Linked DNA regions of Canis lupus familiaris. The protein of the gene in region 2 purifies or fractionates together with the protein of the main gene of each other region. This does not show direct contact. Links are inferred from orthologs where the notes say so. Each region holds a gene or a part of one and is shown on either strand. Other genes may lie near its edges.

What was found. The genes of interacting proteins can lie anywhere in the genome.
Region 1: the proteins of RILPL1 (region 2) and RAB10 purify together in Homo sapiens (co-immunoprecipitation; 3 studies listed by BioGRID and IntAct, with this or other methods). This does not show direct contact. The link is inferred for Canis lupus familiaris from reciprocal best matches to the Homo sapiens genes RILPL1 and RAB10.

The regions. Positions count from the first base shown.
Region 1 is NC_049238.1:20,245,901-20,249,948, forward strand, and holds the start of RAB10 (ras-related protein Rab-10), read left to right. Parts: upstream 1-1,230; 5' UTR 1,231-1,723; coding exon 1,724-1,850; intron 1,851-4,048. UniProt on the Homo sapiens protein: The small GTPases Rab are key regulators of intracellular membrane trafficking, from the formation of transport vesicles to their fusion with membranes.
Region 2 is NC_049247.1:6,343,669-6,347,228, reverse strand, and holds part of RILPL1 (RILP-like protein 1), read right to left. Parts: intron 1,468-3,560; coding exon 1,323-1,467; 3' UTR 1-1,322. UniProt on the Homo sapiens protein: Plays a role in the regulation of cell shape and polarity. Plays a role in cellular protein transport, including protein transport away from primary cilia.

The sequences.
Region 1 (4,048 bases), on a different chromosome or scaffold from region 2:
GTTTGCGGGGGGGGGGGCGGCAGGGTGTAAAAATATAGTTTTTACTTCTGTCTCAATCCCTGTTTCCAGATGTCTCAGGGTTTTCTCCTGTATCAGGACGAACCACAGGTTCAACTTCTCAGCCATGACATTCTAGGTGTGCTTTGCGGCGGTGCAACACACTGGGAATGGCAGGGCAGGAGGACGACTATTTAACCTACAGAAAGGAAGGAGAGGAAGAGGGAAGCATAAAGCCTGATGGGGGGAGCCCGAAGGAAGGGCTTAAGGCATATGAAAAGAGAGTGCCAGGAAGAGGCAGCGTCGGGTTGGGGCTGGCTTTAGTATCCTTCAATCTTGGACGCCGGTGGTTCGATTTTGGCGGCAGGGAGGGGCCGTGCTTCCCATGCATGGCGCTCGGGGCTCTCCCGTCTTCCAAAAGGACTGCAAGGCCTGCAGCGGGTTCTCGCCGTGGCGCCCGGCACCCAAGCCTCCACTTTGCGGGAAGGTCCTCCCCGCGCCCAGGTGTTCCTCAATCCTCCTCTCCTTGCCCTGAAAGGCGGATGACATCATCCCCACCTGAGCAGCCCGGCCAGTTTTTCCATTTCAAACTGCTGCTCTCTGGAACGTCAACTCTTGCTCGTTAAGCGGGATGGAGGTCTAAATGTTTCTCCCGTCACGATTAGCCACGAGGGCGGGCACTCCGGGGATGCGTCTCATTTTAGCAAAGAGCCCATTAACGACCCAGGGCGCCACTTTTTTCTCGCGTTTACGAGCCGCCGCTGCACCGGAACATATGGCCGTCCGAGCCTGTCAGTGCGCCGAGACCTTCAACTCGACACACGCGACAAACGGGACCGGGAGCCTCCGCAGCGTAGCCAGGAGGGCGACCCCCGGAAGACGCCCGGCGGGGTGTGGGGGGTGCCAAGGGGCTACTCCAGCGTGCCGCGCCTGCGCAGTCGCCAGGCAGCGCCTCCCCGCGGGGCGTGCTCGTAGCGCCGCGCACCCTATCAGGCGGCCGCAGGGAGCGCGCCCGCGGCCTCGCCCTCTCTCGCCCCTCCCCTCTCTCTTCTCCGCGGGGCCCTAGGCTGAGGCTCTGAGGCCCCGGCGCGCCGCTCCCCGCCCCCGCGTGCCCCGACACCCTCCGGCGCGCGTGCGCAGAGGCGATCCGCAGGGCGAGGGCGCGAGGGAAGGGCGGGCGTACGTCCTTGCGTGCGTCTCAGGCAGCGCGCACGCCGGCGTGAGAGGGCACGGGGAAAAGGTGGCTCTGGCCGGGGAGGCTCGGCTTCCTGTGGCTATGTAGCTGAGCTCGTCGGCTCGGGGTCCTCCTTCGCTGCCGCCGCCGCGTCCTGGCGCGGAGTTTCTGCTCGGGAGAGAGCCTGTCCTCACGTCCGCCGCGCTCCCTCGACGGCAGAGCTTGTTCGCTCGCCCGTGGGAGCGTCCCGGCCGAGCAGCCCTGAGGGGGGAGGGGAGGCCATTTTGTCCCGACCGACTCCCCGGAACCGGGCGGAGCGGCTGGGAGAGGCTGCGGAGCCGCGGTCGCCGCCCTCGGAGGCACCGGACGCCGCCACCGTCGGGGCTTCCTCGACGAGGCCGTTCGCAGGTCGCCCGCGCCCTCTCGAGCCCTCGTTTTTCCCACGCTACCCCGGTCCTCCGGCCTGAGAACGCCCAAGTGAGGAGTTGGCCGTCGTGAGAGGGACCGATCCCTTGGGGCCGCCGGCGGCGAGAGCCTGAGCCGCTCCTCCCAATGGCGAAGAAGACGTACGACCTGCTTTTCAAGCTGCTCCTGATCGGAGACTCGGGAGTAGGGAAGACCTGCGTCCTTTTTCGTTTTTCGGATGATGCCTTCAATACCACCTTTATTTCCACCATAGGTAAGACCTGTGGGAAGATGGTGTACGGTCTGGGTAGCTGCAGACCGTTTCTTTTAACTCCAGACATCTTGCTTCCCGTAATAAACGCCTTTGTTTCAGTGATTCCGATTCCAGGCGAACAGACCCAAGTTACTGATTGAATCGACATCGAGCTTGCTGGGGCGGGGTCTTCCCATGCTTTCCATCCGGTCTTTTGCTTTCGAGTCTCCCACTCTGTTCATTGCCTCTGTTGCAAAATATGCAGCATTAACCACGTTCCAAAATGCTGTTTCTTTAAGCGCCTGGACTGGCTTTTTCCATATCTGTGTGGCGTTAACTAGATGTACGATACTTGTAAGGGATTTATTTTAGGGGATGGGATGGAAGCCGTAGTAGTCGTTTGGTAAAGGCCTGGATTTAATACTTAGGGGCAGAGAGAAGGTTCCATATGGTCATAACTTAGAGTAAACTTGAGGGTTTGTGTGAGGAATAATTAAAGCAAATTAGAGGGGAAAAGTGAGTTCCCCCGCGTTGACTAATCCATTGATGTGTCAAACAATCGGAGGCTCTTCGTGCTTGGGGTGGGACTCAGTTGGCACGTTTGCCTCACAGTGCTTTTCCAGACATCAACAGGAGCAGTAATCTAAGAGAGATGATCATTTTCAGTCCTCAAACCCGAAAGAATGAAGTCCTCTCTTCCATTTGACTTTACGCTCCGGTTTATAGGAAAACATTTGGCCGGTCCTCTTAGCCCTAGAACTTCTCATGTACTTTCACCTCATGTTTCAGGATTACTTAGATTAGTAAGTAAGAACTAAAGATTGACCTTTTAAGTCGGTTTCCCGTTTTGGAAAAGAGAAGGCTCTAGGAAAGTCCCTTTGGACTCTGGTTAGAAAATTTAGTGGCATTAACACAATTTGTGTTAAACGAGTTGTGTGTGGAAACCGTCCTTTCCCTCCCCCCCCCGCCCCCCCAAATATCTTAAAGGACACATGGTTGCTCCTGTCATGTGGAGCCCAGCACTCAGCATTGGGGGAGTGCAGTGAAATCCAATTATAAGTGTAACTAGTTTTATATTTGAGACGATTTTAAAAAGCAACTCCAGTCTTCTCTGAACTCTGGGAATTGTCAAAATTAAGCTGATTTCAATTTATAGCATTACTGGAATGGTTGATTTGGATTTCTTAGGACAACGTTTTAATTCATTGTTACAAAATTATGCTGAAACTAAATTGGGCAAGTGATCATTTAAAATAGATTTTAATTTTACTCTTCTTTTTTTCTGGGGTGGGTAAGAGTCATTGCAATCATTATTTCATGTGTATCATACTATTCTTTTGACCTGTCATAAATTTAATGAAATTTAGAACTTGTTCTCTGCTTGTGGATTAGCCCCTCCTATCACTAAGTTTGCTTTTAATATTCCCCTTTTAGCTGTAGCTGGGTGGGTCAAGTGGTTAGATCAGCAAATATTTATTGAGCACCTAATGTTAGGCACGGTTTTAGGTACTCTAAGTGGTGAACACAATAGACCCCTTGAGCAGTCTAGTGAGGACAGAGTGTGGGAACTGCTACAGTAGGGATGCACATAGGGAGGAAGGGTGATTAGCCTGAATCATGGGGAGTCTTAACTAGGCTTGCATAGATATGGTGTTTGAAATGAAGCCTGCAGGACATAGGAATTGGGATGGGATAGGGCCTAGAAATTCTGGAAAAGGAACATAGTCTGTGAGATCAAGGATTTAATTTGTGTGGTCAACTTTAACCTGCTATTGAGAAGAGTAGGCGGAGAATGAGAAGCAATGCATTAAGCCCTATTTCAGTCTTTTTATAATGGGTACACACCCTCAAGTAGAACCCAGTCCTCCTGTAAGATGACACAATCTTGTGTAGTCCTTTTTAAAAGTTTTATTTGTGTTTTTGGTAATCTCTACACCCATCATGGGGCTTGAACTCACAACCTTGAGATCAAGAGTCTGTGCTCTTTCAACTGAACCAGCCACCCTGTGTAGTCCTTTTATTAGGGAAAATGTGTGGTGGCTTTGGTTTGAGCCTGCTGAGTTGGAATCCTACTTCCACAGTCTGTGGGCTTTGGCAAGTTACTTAATTTCTATGTGCTTCAGTTTCTTCTTTAAATAGGACCTACTACATAGGGTAGTTGTGAGGATTTTATGGATCAGGGAGGGTAGAGCATCTAACATGGTGCCAGGCACACTGTA
Region 2 (3,560 bases):
GAGAAGGCAACTAAAAGTGGCCAGGGGGAGTGGGATTCCTCAATACACTTGCTTTTATACTCTGAGAATCAACTGATAATTCTTGTGGGCAGTCAGGTTTGAGAACCACAGTGCATAAGCAACATTATCCTGTCTGATCATTCTTTTCTGCAATCTGGAAACAGAGTCCCCATATACTGTAAACCAACCTGATGGTTTCTTAGCAAACCATAGCAGAATGTGTAGTGGACTCATCAGATGTTACTTGAGTGTTCTGCTAGCAAATGCTACCTCTCTCAATCTGTCAGCACCCAGCCTGTGCCCTGAGGTGTCCTCTGCGGGCAGAGAGAAAGACAGTGCTATTGGGCAAAATCTCAGCTCACCAGATACAGGTTTCTGCCCCTCTCTGTGTCACCACATCCCTATGAGTCAGCCAGACATGCGGTCCCCAAGCAATCTCTTCACCCACTGCCTTCACGCTGGTGAGCCTATCCCGCCCCCCCCCCCCCGCCCTTTTCAAATCTGCTCTTGTACATTGGTCTTCTTTATAGGAGACTGTTTGATGTATTTAAAGATAAAGAAAGAAGCTGAGGGGGAAAAAATACAAACAAGAAATGAAAAGGGTTGCAATGTCTCATCCTTAGCAACTTTGTTTGGTTAGTACTGCATAACTCACAGCCGATTCCAAGGCACTCGTTACATGCTCTAGGCAATATCAGTAACAAGGTGCAAAAGAGAACCACTGGCTCTTGCAAAGTCATCTCCAGTTTCTGGGTTAGGAGGACCATATTTTCTGTTGCCTCACATCTAAGTGGGGCCAGCTTGTCTGGTGACTTTGGAGGCTTATCCTGCTTATCTAATGGATGCATCCTATGTACTGAGCTACCACCACAACAATTTCATGAGAGATATAAGGAAAATCTACTGCTTCCTGCCTCCCACTTCAGTACGACAAATGTGTTAATAAAACCCCTACACGGAATTTCATACAAAGTAAGTCAAACAGTAATTATAGTGGCATGTGATGTATTTGGCTTAAAGAAGCTTGTGTTACTGAAGTTAATGCAAAAGTCTGGCCTCTGCTCATGGTGTTATTAAATATATATCCTAAGGGATCAGTCATCTATTATAAACGGTCATAGCCCTGGGTATAAATAAACATTTCTTTAGAGTTTGGCATCAGTTTTTCAGTGTGCTTCCTCAAAGCAGTTTGTTTGAGGGATCAGTTCTAGGGGTGCATCTGAACCGAGAGGTGTGCAAGGTAGCAACACCTGAAGCTGCCAGGTCCCACTGCTGGCGCTGGCGGTGGATAATTCAGGTCCCAGGGTGGAGGCGGGCTGTGGTCACAGGTGCTGCAGGGCTTCCTGTCCTTGCTCCGTGTAACTGTCATCACGGTGGGAGTTGGCCCACTGGCCAAACGACTCCTGGATGTGCACGTTCCTCTGCGTGTTGGCCAGACGCTTCTTATCTCGGGAGAAGAAGCTAAACCTTTTGGAAGGGAGAGAAGGAAATGAAAGCCAGCCCTCTGTGCACTTTAAAGATTTTTTTTGCAATGCCAGGACAGACAGCAGCAAATGTAGAAGGAAGCAAATCAATTCAAGGTGTGAAAGAAAAAGTGGGGGTGCAAGTCAAAGTTATTTGAGAAAGCAGCAGGGGATTCTGCATGTCATTGTCACCAAACCTGGGAGGTGATACAGTGTGAAAAGGGCATGTACATATGTGATGTGTGATGCATCTCATCTCTTGGTTAAGCACTGGTGACAGTCTCTTCCCATTATCAGTGGAAATAAAAACCAACTAGAGGGGCACCTGGGTGGCTCAGTGGTTGAGTATCTGCCCTTGGCTCAGGGCGTGATCCCAGGGTCCTGGGATCGAGTCCTACATCAGGCTCCCCTTGGGGAGCCTGCTTCTCTTTCTACCTGTGTCTCTCATGAATTAAAAACAAAACAAAACAAAAAACAACCCGACTAGAAATACACATCTGGAGTTTTTCTACCCTAATGATGCAGAGAAGGTAATAACTGAAAGCCACACAGAGTTTAAGATGATTCTGACATAAAGAGATGGATGTTTTTAATTTACGTTATGTAATGTGAATCAGGAAAGTACATATGCAGCACATCAAAGCCCAGATTTCATGGATATTACTGCTAGAGATGAGCTGAAAGTATTTTAGAAAAATGAGACAATTAAAAAATAAGTAATAGCACACATGGTTCTGTCATTAGATAAACACTAAATATTATATGCAAATGAAATTGGGGAAAACACCAATTTACAGTGTCAAAAATTGATTTGAGGGCAGAAGCCCTTAGAAGTCAGCACCAGAACTTGCTACATAGCAGCAACTAATGTAGACCAAGAGGTCTTTTTATTTTTATTTTTATTTTTTTTAAAGATTTTATTTATTTATTCATGATAGTCACACAGAGAGAGACAGAGAGGCAGAGACACAGGCAGAGGGAGAAGAAGGCTCCATGCAGGGAGCCCGACGTGGGATTCGATCCCGGGTCTCCAGGATCGCGCCCCGGGCCAAAGGCAGGCGCCAAACCGCTGTGCCACCCAGGGATCCCCAAGAGGTCTTTTTATTATTTTATTTTATTTTATTTTTTTAATATTATTCATGATAGTCACACAGAGAGAGAGAGAGAGAGGCAGAGACACAGGCAGAGGGAGAAGCAGGCTCCATGCACCGGGAGCCCGACGTGGGATTCGATCCCGGGTCTCCAGGATCGCGCCCTGGGCCAGAGGCAGGCGCCAAACCGCTGCGCCACCCAGGGATCCCCCCAAGAGGTCTTTTTAAAACATCTGTGATTACTGGGGCATCTGGGTGGCTCAGGTCATGATCTCAGGATCATGAGATGGAGCCCTGTGTCAGGATCTGCTCAGCATAGAGCCTGCTTAAGATTCTGTTTCTCCCTCTCCCTCTGTCCGACCTCCCTTTATCCCTCCCGCCCCACTCACTCTCTCTCAAAAAAAACAAACCCCAAACCAAAAATAGCTGTGACTACTGATCATTGATCAAAGTGAACCATCTGATGCCTGAAGGATGAAGGTAGAAATCACAGGCAAAAAGCTTATAAACTGGCCCATTTAAAAAAAGAAAAAAACTTTAAAAAAATTTTATTTTAAATAGGCTCCACACCCAATGTAGGGCTTGAACTCACAAACCTGAGGTTAAGAGTCACACGCTCCGGGTGTCTGGGCGGCTCAGTCAATTAAGTGTCTGACTTGATTTCAGCTCGGGTCATGATCTCAGGGTCTTCAGATTGAGGCCTGTGTTTGGCCCTGTGCTGGGTATGGAGCCTGCTTAAAATTCTCTCTCTCCTTCTCCCTCTGCCCCCCACCCAACCCCTGTGCCCTTTCTTAAAAAAAGGGGGGGGGGGCACACGCTCTGTGGACTAAACCATCTAGGCACTCCTAAACTGGCCCATTAATTTTTTTTGGAGGGGGGCTGGGGGAGAGGGAGATAGAGCATCTTAATCAGGTGCCACGCCCAGTGCAAGAGCTCGACACCGTGCTTAGTTCCACAACCCTGAGATCATGACCTGGGCTGAAATCAAGAGTCGAACCTTTAACAG